Linked DNA regions of Tribolium castaneum. The protein of the gene in region 1 purifies or fractionates together with the protein of each later gene. This does not show direct contact. Links are inferred from orthologs where the notes say so. Each region holds a gene or a part of one and is shown in the gene's direction. Other genes may lie near its edges. The genes, in order: nompB, IFT57 and IFT46.

Evidence for each region.
Region 2: the proteins of nompB (region 1) and IFT57 purify together in Homo sapiens (affinity purification with mass spectrometry; 3 studies listed by BioGRID and IntAct, counting the BioPlex papers as one, with this or other methods). This does not show direct contact. The link is inferred for Tribolium castaneum from reciprocal best matches to the Homo sapiens genes IFT88 and IFT57.
Region 3: the proteins of nompB (region 1) and IFT46 purify together in Homo sapiens (affinity purification with mass spectrometry; 3 studies listed by BioGRID and IntAct, with this or other methods). This does not show direct contact. The link is inferred for Tribolium castaneum from reciprocal best matches to the Homo sapiens genes IFT88 and IFT46.

The regions. Positions count from the first base shown.
Region 1 is NC_087394.1:29,197,965-29,202,133, reverse strand, and holds the start of nompB (intraflagellar transport protein 88 homolog), read left to right. Parts: upstream 1-1,364; 5' UTR 1,365-1,630; coding exon 1,631-1,780; intron 1,781-1,825; coding exon 1,826-2,118; intron 2,119-2,166; coding exon 2,167-2,362; intron 2,363-2,413; coding exon 2,414-2,631; intron 2,632-2,676; coding exon 2,677-2,908; intron 2,909-2,974; coding exon 2,975-3,122; intron 3,123-3,176; coding exon 3,177-3,370; intron 3,371-3,418; coding exon 3,419-3,605; intron 3,606-3,655; coding exon 3,656-3,915; intron 3,916-4,169. Other genes in the region: zinc finger protein 260, read right to left, coding at 1-108, 154-738, 792-938. UniProt on the Homo sapiens protein: Positively regulates primary cilium biogenesis. Also involved in autophagy since it is required for trafficking of ATG16L and the expansion of the autophagic compartment.
Region 2 is NC_087402.1:750,091-754,191, reverse strand, and holds IFT57 (intraflagellar transport protein 57 homolog), read left to right. Parts: upstream 1-1,244; 5' UTR 1,245-1,259; coding exon 1,260-1,428; intron 1,429-1,475; coding exon 1,476-1,636; intron 1,637-2,871; coding exon 2,872-2,987; intron 2,988-3,028; coding exon 3,029-3,630; intron 3,631-3,841; coding exon 3,842-4,002; 3' UTR 4,003-4,024; downstream 4,025-4,101. Other genes in the region: apoptosis-resistant E3 ubiquitin protein ligase 1, read right to left, coding at 930-1,116. UniProt on the Homo sapiens protein: Required for the formation of cilia. Plays an indirect role in sonic hedgehog signaling, cilia being required for all activity of the hedgehog pathway.
Region 3 is NC_087400.1:5,250,680-5,254,140, forward strand, and holds IFT46 (intraflagellar transport protein 46 homolog), read left to right. Parts: upstream 1-1,490; 5' UTR 1,491-1,590; coding exon 1,591-1,617; intron 1,618-1,670; coding exon 1,671-1,799; intron 1,800-1,843; coding exon 1,844-2,073; intron 2,074-2,114; coding exon 2,115-2,370; intron 2,371-2,420; coding exon 2,421-2,533; intron 2,534-2,576; coding exon 2,577-2,862; 3' UTR 2,863-2,902; downstream 2,903-3,461. UniProt on the Homo sapiens protein: Forms part of a complex involved in intraflagellar transport (IFT), the bi-directional movement of particles required for the assembly, maintenance and functioning of primary cilia. May play a role in chondrocyte maturation and skeletogenesis.

The DNA.
Region 1 (4,169 bases):
TTCAAGTTTTGGAGATTCTAATTTAACACTTAAATTCTCAGAGTTTGAATGATAATCTAAACTGTCTTTTTCATTGTGAATATGATAAGTATTTTCATCGTGTTGTATCTAAAAAAAAAATAAGTATCTCACACTAGGGGCACAAGTGCTCACCTTTGAGTGAACCACAGTATTATCCAAACCCCCACTTAAAGTAATCCCATCAACGGTATTTTCAGCGCTCATATTAACATGCAACTCGTGTTGCAACCGAAACTGCTCATTCAACAACTGCTGATGCGGAATTAAATCTAAATTATCACCGGCAAACCTCGCACTACCATTCTCCACCAAAATTGAGTCCTGCGTTTGCAAACTGTGGTTAGAAATGTCCTGGTTTAACTCATGGTGGTTCAAATTAATGTTTTCAAGAGGGTGACCATTGATATCAACACTCTGATGGGTCAAAATGATCTCATGTCCCACAATCAGCTGCTCCCTGGGCCCCAAGTGAGCCAAATCAATCTCATCAACCCCACCCATGCCATGGTTGGCCAAGATCTGCTGGTTCTGCGTCATGATCAGCTCGTGCTCCATGGGCACAACCCCCATGCTCTGCTTGCTGGAATTGATCTGCTTCAACAAATCTATCAACACCCTCTCCGTGAGAATCGTCTTCTCCTTAAACTCCGCCAACAAGTTGAGCTTATAGATGCAGTTCTCGCACACCATCTTGGGAAGCTCGTCGGATTCGTGCACCTAGTAAACACAAGTGGTGAGGAGGCAAGCGCCTAACCTAACATTCGCATTACTTGAATGGAAAGGCAAGATTCGATTTTTTTCCGCAATTGGCTTATTATTCCGTCGTTTTGGAATATGTGGACCGCCAGAATCATCGTGGTTGTTGCGGCACAAAGTCTGCACAGCTCGTTATATCGGGAAGGGTCGATTGCGGCCATTTTGGTGTATTAACAATTCCAACAAATTACACTTCGTGTTTTCGACTTAATACTACATACTGGGCCCCCACACGGCCCGCGAACACGAGAACAAGGCTAGAGTTGCGGCGGAAGGACAATAAACATGAAAAAAGCGGAAATTCACGGCGGATTGGAAAAATTACGAAAACAACGTTTGTGAAAAAGACGTAACACGAAGAACTGTCAAACTGAGGTGGGCGCAAGCGCCCAAGTTGCGTGTTGCAGAAGTTTCCAAGACGCGAAAAGTATTAAATAAAAAAATATTGCTTTTATTGCCAATAATTTATTAAATTATTTGTTATCACTGTTCAAACCACGGTCAAAACTTTAAATGATTTTTTACAATAGCTGTTGTAAAAAATAAATACGAAAAATCGATTCAAAATATAAAAAAATATTTGAAAACTTGAAAAATACATACCGACTAGTATCTACTGGTAATTCCTTGAATAAAATAATAATAAACAACAGGTACCCCCATGTGGGCCTGTGTTGATAATTGGAGTTGTTAGGGCAACCCCCAACATCAACAAACACCTACGCCTTCAGCCCCAACTTATCGACGAAACGAGTCTTTCAGAAGGTTAAACCTATTAGTAAACAATCAATAAACGAACCCAGAAACCCCTTCATTACCTAATTCTTTAAATACCGCAAAATATAACGAAAAAATGACCGCAATTGAGTCGCCTGATTTCATTGCAATCAACAACACGTCATCCCCAACCGACGATTTTGTAACAACCAAAAGTGTAAGAATCGCAGAAATGGCCAGATTATCAACCCCTAAGCCCATAATGTACCTGGGATCAACCACAGAGGCAAGTCACAAAATTGCAAACCATCAAATAAACCAACTATTGCAGTTTCAAAGACAAGGAACCGGGATTCCCAAGACCCCCTACAAGCCTGGAACGGGATACAGGGCCGGGACTGGGTTCAAACCCACGACTAACTTTAAGCAGACGAGTTTTGAAAAACCGGGAACTGGGTATAAACCCGGAACTGGGTTCAGACCAGGGACTGGGGCCGATGTGGTGAACAGGCCCATGACGGCGGTGCGCGGGGCTGGGTACACCTCCCATGGGAAACCTTTCGACCCTTTGAACCAAGCTGCTTCGGCCCCAACGCCGCCTCTGGAGTTGCAAAAGGATGACTCGTAATTTTGTTTGTCTTTCGTTGCTAATTTCTAATTTTTTTGATCTAGTCCCGAACAGAAAATTCGGCAACAAAAGGCAAAAATCATGCAGCTTGTGGAAGAGGCGTGTGTCGCGGAATGCGAGGGTGACTATCGGAAGTCGCTCTCTAAGGCTAAAGAAGCGTCAAATAAGGAGCGGGTTTTGATCAAAATGCAGGAACAGTCTGATCTGAGTGACTTGCACGATATTGATTTAACTTTTGTTGTCAGTTTGTCCAAAAAAATTTTTTAGTGGTTACTCAAATTGAGCTTCCAGGTTTTGTTCACACTTGGTAACCAGTACGCAGCCAATGAATTATACACAGAAGCACTCAGCACGTACCAAATGATCATAAAAAATCGAATGTTTTCAAATGCACACCGTTTGAAGATAAATATGGGCAATATTTATTTCAAACAAGGCCAGTTCCAAATGGCGGTCAAAATGTATCGCATGGCTTTGGACCAAGTGTCTTCAAGTCAAAAAAATCTGAGGTACTTTTTAACAATTTTGGGAAAAATCTAGTTTTTGTTTTACAGAATCAAAATAATGCACAATATTGCGTTAGTTTTTATCAAAATGGGCCAATGGGAAGAAGCAATTTCAAGTCTGGAGTACATAATGGGCGAACAAGCTTGTCATAGGGCAGGCTTGCACTTAATTATCTGTTGCAGAGCTTTGGAAGATAGAGATAGAATGAAAACAGCATTTTCCATGTTACTTAACGTTCCTCTGGAAGTCGAAGATGAAGAAAAATACAACCTTGAACAGGTACAAAGCAGTAATATGTACAAAAATTTCATAAATAATTCATAATATTATTGTTTTTACATCTAGGACAATCCAGAAGATGTACTAATCGCTATGGCTATTCAAAACGACGATTTACATAAATACGAAATAAAAAAATGCAAGGACGCCGAATACTGCATTTTAACGGCAGCTAAGCTTATAGCACCTTTAATTGAAGACACATTTAGTTTAGGTGATTAAAAGCGATTAAAGCAATAATAATTTTTTTACTAAAACACATTTAAAGGCTATGACTGGTGCGTAATGTCGATAAAAAATTCAGAATACGCTCGACTGGCCTCAAATCTCGAAATTAATAAAGCGGTAATGTTTTTGAAACAAAACCAATTGCCTGAAGCAATCGACACGTTGAAAGCCTTTGAAAAAGACTCAGTTATTGCAATCAACGCTGCAATTAATTTGAGTTTCATTTATTACTTGGTAACCCCCACGTAAATAATTAACAAAATTTAATTTCATTTATTGAAGCAAGGAGACATCGAAAATGCAACGAAATACGCGCAAGTTGTGGAAACAAATCCCACAAAAAGTGCGGACGGTTATGTAAACCTGGGAGCGTGTTTAATGGCGAAAGGACAGCCGGAAGATGCCATTAACTCGTTCAAAAACGCCTTGGAGTTAGATCCGACTCACTTTGAGGCAATTTACAACCTCGGTACGCTTAATTCATTACATAAAAACGAAACACAAAACCAAATTTCGTAGGTTTGGTGCTGAAACGGCAAGGACACTACGCGGAAGCCCTTCAGTGTTTTCAGAGATTTTCAGGCTCGCTTGCCCTTCTCCCAAATGTGGTTTACCAAGTTGCTAATTTATTAGAATTGAAGGGTGACAGCGAAGCCGCTGCCGACATGTACCAACAATTGCTGGGTCTTGTACCAACGGACGCTGGGGCGCTGCAAAAAATGGGCGAGTTGTACGACCACGATGGTGATAAACAACAAGCCCACCACTACCACATTGAAGTAATTTTTACAATAGATGGGATAAAAGGTATCCGGAAAAAAATTAAAAATATGCGATGTTGAATAATTTATTTTGGAATTCCAAAGCCAAAACAAAACGAGCCAAACACAAAATATTTTGAGAAAAACAAAACAAAATGTTACGAATTATTTGCCAAAAAATAATTCGTATAGTAACGAATAACGAACCAATGATTAAATATTTTGAGAAAACCAAAATTTTTTAAAGTCCTATCTCTGTATAACCACAGAAA
Region 2 (4,101 bases), on another chromosome or scaffold:
AAGATCCACTGATCAAATTAAAATTAGTTCCATTAAAAAAAATCTTATATTTGAAACGATTTGGACTACGAAGCATTTAGTTTAATATGAAAATAAATAATTGCGAAAAATTCTGAGAAAAAAAATCACGTATAGAGAAAAACGTAAAGTCTTTAACAATTATACAATCTTTTTTTAGTCAAATAATCCCCAACTATAAAAATAAAAAATCACCAAAAATCATTCCAACACAAAATGCGTCCAAGTTGGCAGCATTTGAACACGCCAACCTACCTCGAACATATCCTTTGATAAACGATAACACGCGACCCTAATGAGTTACTTTAACGACTACAGTTTATGGTAGAATTTTAACCGCAACCATTTTAATTTTACTATTTGTTTGCCCAACAAATTCCACATTTACTCCCTGCTGTGAGATGACCAACTTTTATTATTGGTACACATTCAAAATAAAAAAATTTACAAAATCATGAAAAAAATCAAGTTGCGTGTTTTAGAACCGGCGCATCCACCATTTCGCCTTCAGTGGTATAATTACCATCGCCATTACACCCCAAAAAATGGCCTGGTGTTTTGAATTAATTCTTACCAGAGGAGGCACTAGCGGACGGCTGCATGGTCATGCCAATTGAGCAAATTTCAGTATCGTCATCCCACAACATTTTAACACAACACACTCACAACCAACAAAACAAACCCAGATATGTTACATTGATACGGAGCGAGTTTTCAAGGGGTTTCATGGTATTTCTGTGGTAGCAGGTGCTGGGTCGATGGGTGCTCGCCAGCGACTGCAGTGCCTGGCTTTGTTTGTAACCCTGGGCGACTGTATTCCGATACTGCGCCCTCGCACCCTTACATTTGCACCCTTAATCAGGCGCGTTTCGCTGCTTTTTCCAACGTCATCAGTCATTAATTTCACTCACCTTTGTCAACAAAACAGTCCTTGAACGGTGACAAATTGTTCCGTTCTAGCCATTCATCGACTTTACCATCCGGTTTATTGTCCGATTCAAATAATCCAGACCAAAAGCAAAAACACAGTCTTATCACACTAGCAACACTAACAAAAACCAAAAATACAACAGCGAATAGTTTGGCACAACGCTTCATAATACAATTTTACGAAATTTTCGTTACATTTTGGCTTTTTTTCGAGTTTGGTTGAGACGGCTGTGCCCACTTTTAGCAACCGGCCGCCATTACTGTTTTTGTCAAATGTGGCGCCCTCTAAGTGGGCGGAGCCGCACGTTACCATGACAATACGAATACAAATTGACGAAATTTTACGCCAAAAAATGTCAGAAGAGAGTGAACAAACGTTTTCGGCTTTTAGCCAAATGGAAGGGCTTCTAGATAAGTTGAAATTGTTGAATTACGAAGCTGAATTTTTCAAGGAAACTAAGCTCAAGCCCATCCATAGGAAAGTCCCCAGTTTAATAATTCAAATAGTAATGGAATTAATTACAGGTATTATTTTGTTGTTACCAAAAACCCGGGCGAACAATTTTATTTGTTTGCCTTATTGGCGGCCTATTTAATACAGAAGATTGGAATTAGTTTCCAAACGCCACAAGAGGATGATGACCCGAATGTGACCGTGGAAAAAATACTAGATGTGGTGCGAAAAAATGTAATTCATTATTGAAATTTGCACTATGGTTGGAAACAGAATATAAGTTGGTATTTTTACAAAACACAGTATGATACGTCATTTTTGTCACGAGTTTATAAAGCGAGTTGCATACTATATTTTTTCTACGACAGTAGAAGTAACATTTGCACATTTTTTTCGAAAAAAACATAAAAGTTTCAACGATTTCTCTCTTAAAAACCACCAAAATAGCATAAGAATAATTAAAATTAGATATTTTGTGGCCAATTTTATATAAAATGTTTGAACTAGAATTTTTTCTTGAAAACTTTAGACTATATATTAATTCCCAAATCGTTAAATTAAATCACCAAACCCCAAAAAAACAGCAAATTAGATCGAAAAAACGTTTTATTCTAACGTTATAGCATTTTTTTTAAATTTTTAACTCTAATTTTTCACCAAATTTTGTCAAAAAGCAGCAAATTACGGTAAAGAAGACAATATTCTGGAATTTTCCAAGTTCAAAAATTCCTTATTTTGAGAAACTCTGAAATAAATGAGTCCAAAAACTCGAAATTTTTGCTGAATTCCGTCATAAATTTCTTAAAAAATCACGAAATTAATGTGTTTTTCGTCAAAATTAATATAAAATATCTAAACTATCGTCAAATTTGTGCATCTTGGCACAAAATTGAGACAAAAAACACAAAAAAACAGCAAATTAGGTCAGGTCAGGTCAGGTCAAAAAAGTTTAATTCAAACATTTAAGCATTTTTTTTAATTTGAAACTTTAATTTTCCACCAAATTTCGTCGAAAAGCAACAAATTATGGTAAAATTAGCGTTGTTTTGGAATTTTTCAAGCGTGTAAGTTGATTTTTCAGGTAAAAATTCTCATATTTCGAGAAATTCTTAATAAAAAATTAAACCTCAATTTTAAAATAACACAGTTTTACATAGTTTTTTATGATTTTCTGCACGTTTTCGTCTTAGGAACACGAAATTTTTGGCAAATTTCACAATAAATCTCCCACAAAATCCCCAAATTTGTGAATTTTTTTAAATATTTCAGTTAAAAATAATAAAAAAATATCCAAACTATCGCTAAATTTGCGCCTTTTTCAAGCACTTTTAATTTTTCAGCTAGGAACTCATTTTTTTCGCTAAATTTTGCCAAAAAAAAACAAATATCAAAAAATAAACAGACGTAAAATCAAAAATTCTGTTTCCATCCACTAATTTATTGGCCAAGTATTAAAATCCGAATTCTAGGAAATTGCTGTTAATTTCCACGCCAATAAGCTGATGCAAGGTGTGGGCGAACAAGTGGTTTACATTTTGGACAGTCTGGCCAGCAAGGCTTTGGAGAAAAATTTCATGTTCCAAAAGTGAGTAAATCCCCCTTTGTTTGCTTTAAAAATTGTGTTAGGCCTTTGCTTCCCGAGGAAAAAGCGGAAGAAAGCGAGCTGATAAACGACGAATCCGAGATAAACCTTGACCGTGTGGAGGAGGAAATGTTGGCAGCTTACACGGACGATTCCGACGAGGAAAACCTTTTCCTCCTTGATAACGTGAAAGTGGCCCGGAAAGAGCCCCAAATGGCCGAAATCAAAATGAACGTAAATGAAGAAGCGTGGAAATTGGAACTGGAGCGAGTTCTCCCGCATTTAAAAATCACAGTTAAGAATGAAAACCGTGATTGGCGTTCGCATTTAGAGCAAATGAAGCAATACAAAGTCAGTGTTGACTCGTCACTTGGTGTGGTTAAAACACAGTTGGAGAAGTTGCATAAGGAGATAAGTCAAACGCTTGATAAAATCGCAAGTCGAGAGAAGTTTCTCAATCGGGAGCTGGAGAATAATTTGGATGAATATAGAATGCTGCAAGATCAGCTCTCGAAAATCAGAGATGCTTATAAGGGGATCAGCGAGGGGGTTGCTGAGAGGAATCGCGAGCTGTTCAGGCTAACGGATCGATTGGAGACAGTCAAACAGCAAATGGAGGAGAGAGGGAGTTCGATGACGGATGGAAGTATGTTTTATCCACTGGTTGGGTACTTTATGGTAAAACGGAATTTTATCGGCTGGGAAAATAAAGTTCGCAACCGTGTCTGTTTTTCTGTTTTTGACATTTTTTCAGTCAATATAATGGAAGGATAAAATTCACAATTATCTATCTTATCAAGCGTTTGAAATTATATTTTATCGTCTTGTAGATATTACAATAAATAATTTTTTTTCAGCCCCTTTGGTTAATATTAAGAAACAGTTGGGTAAGGTCAAGTCTGAGATTGTGGAAATGGATGTAAGGATTGGAATTTTGGAGTGTATTTTGCTCCAGTCGAAAATTCGAGACGAGAAAAATTTGGAAACTGAGTTTGGACAAGCGATTTCGGTTTTCTAGAACAATAAAAGTTTGTGATGTATTATGTTGTTTTATTGGTGGGAGTAATTTGATGTAAACTTGTGTAAAATGAGCCGGGGAATCGATTGGCGTTGAGAA
Region 3 (3,461 bases), on another chromosome or scaffold:
TGAATTTGCGAAATTTTACTAAGAACTGAAATGAAATAGCAAGATAGTTAAAATATTTTAAGACATTTCATAGAACCAGGGTACATATTAATTTGTTATTCTTATTACTTTTTTCTATCTATTATGTATTATAAACACGCAAGCACATTTCTAGAAATTTAAACGATAATTACTGTTCCTTAATTAGGAAGGAAAAAATGTTAATTAGACAAATAAGACAAATTATGCTATCGTGTATGAAGTTTTTTGATACAAGTATTATAATTTGTACAGTCAACCCTAAAAAACTAGGATTTTTTAAAATGGAGTGGTTCAGATTTTTTTATTTCCTCAAAAACATATACAGGGGGTGTCTCAAAATTGGCAAATTCCCAGTTCAGAGCATTGTAGACAATCACTTCAGTAGTCCAAATGTAGAAAATTCGAGGCTTCCCCACAAAGACACATTGGTTAGCATGTTAAAAATTTCAATGTCTATTGTTAATTTTGATGTAGGTGGTTGTGGAAAACAACAATGTAAAACAATTTTTCGAAAAATTAACTTCATTTTGAAGTAAAAAAAACTTATATTTTTCTTTAATTGAAACGGCAAATTACAAAAACTTAAAAATTTTTTGCTCCATAAGAAAGCTATTTTAATTTTTTTAATTTTTTCTTTTATTTTTTTTCATGTTATTTTTTTATTTTATTTTTTATTATATTTTTTTATTTAATTTTTTTATTATACAGTGGGCTCAAAAACTGGCGCACTAACTCAATGGTGTGTGGTAGAGAACTGGTTACATATAAAGGTAAAAATAGTAAAAAAATTCTTTGTATTAAAGTTATTGATAAATAACGGATTTTAGATAAATGATATGTGGCAACGTTGTCTAATAGTCCTGATCGCAATAGAATTTGAGCAACAATAAAAATAAATTATTTTTGAAACGGTTTCCTAGGAAATAATTCCCAGTGTTGGCACATCTACACATTGGGATTTTTTGGATAAATTTTAATTTTTTTAAATTAAAAAAACTGCTAGAATCTGATAGTAAATTTTAAAATAATTATTCATCGTTTTGTTACGGAACGATTACCTGGTATGAAACATAAAAACATAAAAAAATAATGAAAACTGAAGAAGTTAACAAAATAAGTTTGTAGCTCCAGATTTTTTTAAATATGGGTTTAGGAATTTTTTCAAGATTTTTCCCGTGATCTACACATGCTTCTCAACAACGTACCACTGAGTTGGTGCGCCAGTTTTTGAGCACCCTGCATTTTTTTATTTTATTTTTATTATTTAATTTTTTTACGATTGGACTACCGAAACAATTTTCATCTGAACTTGGAATTCGTCAATTTTGAAACACCCTCTATACCTAGTTTTGCGTGCTGTTGAAAAAATAGTTATTCCATTTTTCATTAAAAAAAATTGACTTACAGTCGTTTTTTTGATTGTATCATTTTCTAAAAATCATACTAACGCATAAAAAAACAAATCAAGTTACATCCCCTGTTCAGTATCCACGCAACTCGGTTGCTAAGTAACGAAATACAAACAAAACAACGCCATTTCTAAATCAAAATCATTATTTTGACACAAAAATGCAACGGTCATTTTCAATTGTTGACGTAAGTTGTAGGTATTTCCCCTAATAAATTTTTACCCAATTTTCACTTGAAAGGACGAAGAAGAGAGCGAAAATTTCGATGAGCAAATCCTCAAAAAATACGGAGGCGCGTTATCTGAACGCTCAAACTCGCAAACAATCAACGATTACGAAACCAATTTAGCCAAAATGGCCACCAGACAGGTAAAACCCCCAACCTGTGTCCAGAACCGTACTTAGATTTTCAGGCCTCGGCCACCGACTACGACCCTGACAAACACTTATCTAAAATCCCCAGCGCCGGCCCTTCGGGCCGCCAAACTGTCTTACGTAAACCAACAGGTTTATCGAGTGACAGTGAAGACGACAGTGACGAAGAAAAAACAAAGGATGCAATTCCGGGTGAATATGACCCGAAGGAGTACGAAAATTTGGACGTTAGTCCCGAAATTAAAGACATATTTCAATACATAACAAAGTGAGTCGATTGAAATACTTACAGGGCTGCTAAATATTTAGGTACATCCCCCAACAAATGGGTTTGGACCACAAGTTCAAACCCTTCGTGCCTGAATTTCTCCCAGCGGTTGGCGACATTGACGCGTTTTTAAAAGTCCTCCCGCCAAAAACGTTGCTCTCCGACGCGGACTTCGTAGCCAATCAGCAGCTGGGACTGGTGGTTTTGGACGAACCGGCGGCCAATCAGAGTGACCCGGCCTTGCTACACTTGCAACTGAGGGCGGAGTCGGTCAAAACGACCAATGACAGCACTGTGGTACCTAACCCCGCTTTCCCCCACCCCTCAGTCATGCTTTACACCAACAGGTGGTCAAAAAAATCGACAATGTTGAGAAAAACGCCAAAATCATCGATAAGTGGATTAAAGACATTTCAGCGTTGCATAAAAGCAAGTCGTTTCCGGCCGTTCGTTACACAGAGTAGGTTAGACTTTGAGTGACTTGACCTGACTGAGTTTTCCAGACCGATGCCCGATTTGGACGAGCTGATGCAAGAATGGCCCGAAAGTATGGAAAAACAGCTGAGTGAGAACGGATTTCCGGAACCTAAGGGAAATTTGAGTGATTATGTGCAGGAAGTTTGCGGGTTGTTTCAAATTCCGGTCAAAAATAAAATCCAAGCGTTGCATTTGCTGTTTTCGCTGTTTGCAGCTGTCAAAAGCTCGCAGTTGTTCAAAAACGGCCAACTTGGGAAAGTTGAGGAAAGCGAGTCGATTGGAAACGTTGCCGATCAGTTGGTACTGGATTAGAGGACACTCTTGATAATTACAAAATAAATCAATTATCTTAGCCTTGATCTCGATTAATTTAAATGCCCTTTTGGTCTTGCCGAAGCTATGTTTACAATTCCTGTTGCCCTTCTGTGAAATACTTACCTATAGTCTGTTATTGCAAGCTCGTGCAAGTAAATAATAATTAAAAGTGTTTGATAAAATGTGCATATTTTAAAAATAGCATAATTGGTGCGTAATTGCGTAGGCAACTTGATCTTGAGTGACCACAAATACTGGATGATTCAAAAGTCCCAGATTTTTGATGACAAAAATTTGTTTGAGTCTTATATTACTTTTTTATTATTATTTTTTACTATTATTATTATTTTATTTATTATTTATTATTATATTATGACCACAAACTGGTCAGAACTGTCAAAACTAAAATGATATCGAATTATCAAATACTTTTTAATAATGTTCCTGCACACGCACTAGATTTTATAAAAAAAAATGCCTCACCCTGTATTTATGTTTGGTTTCTCGATCAAAATAAATAAATTATTATAATAATAAATTAAGTAAACAACAATCACCAAATTTAGACAAGATCAAGGTTTTAAAAATAGAAGCCA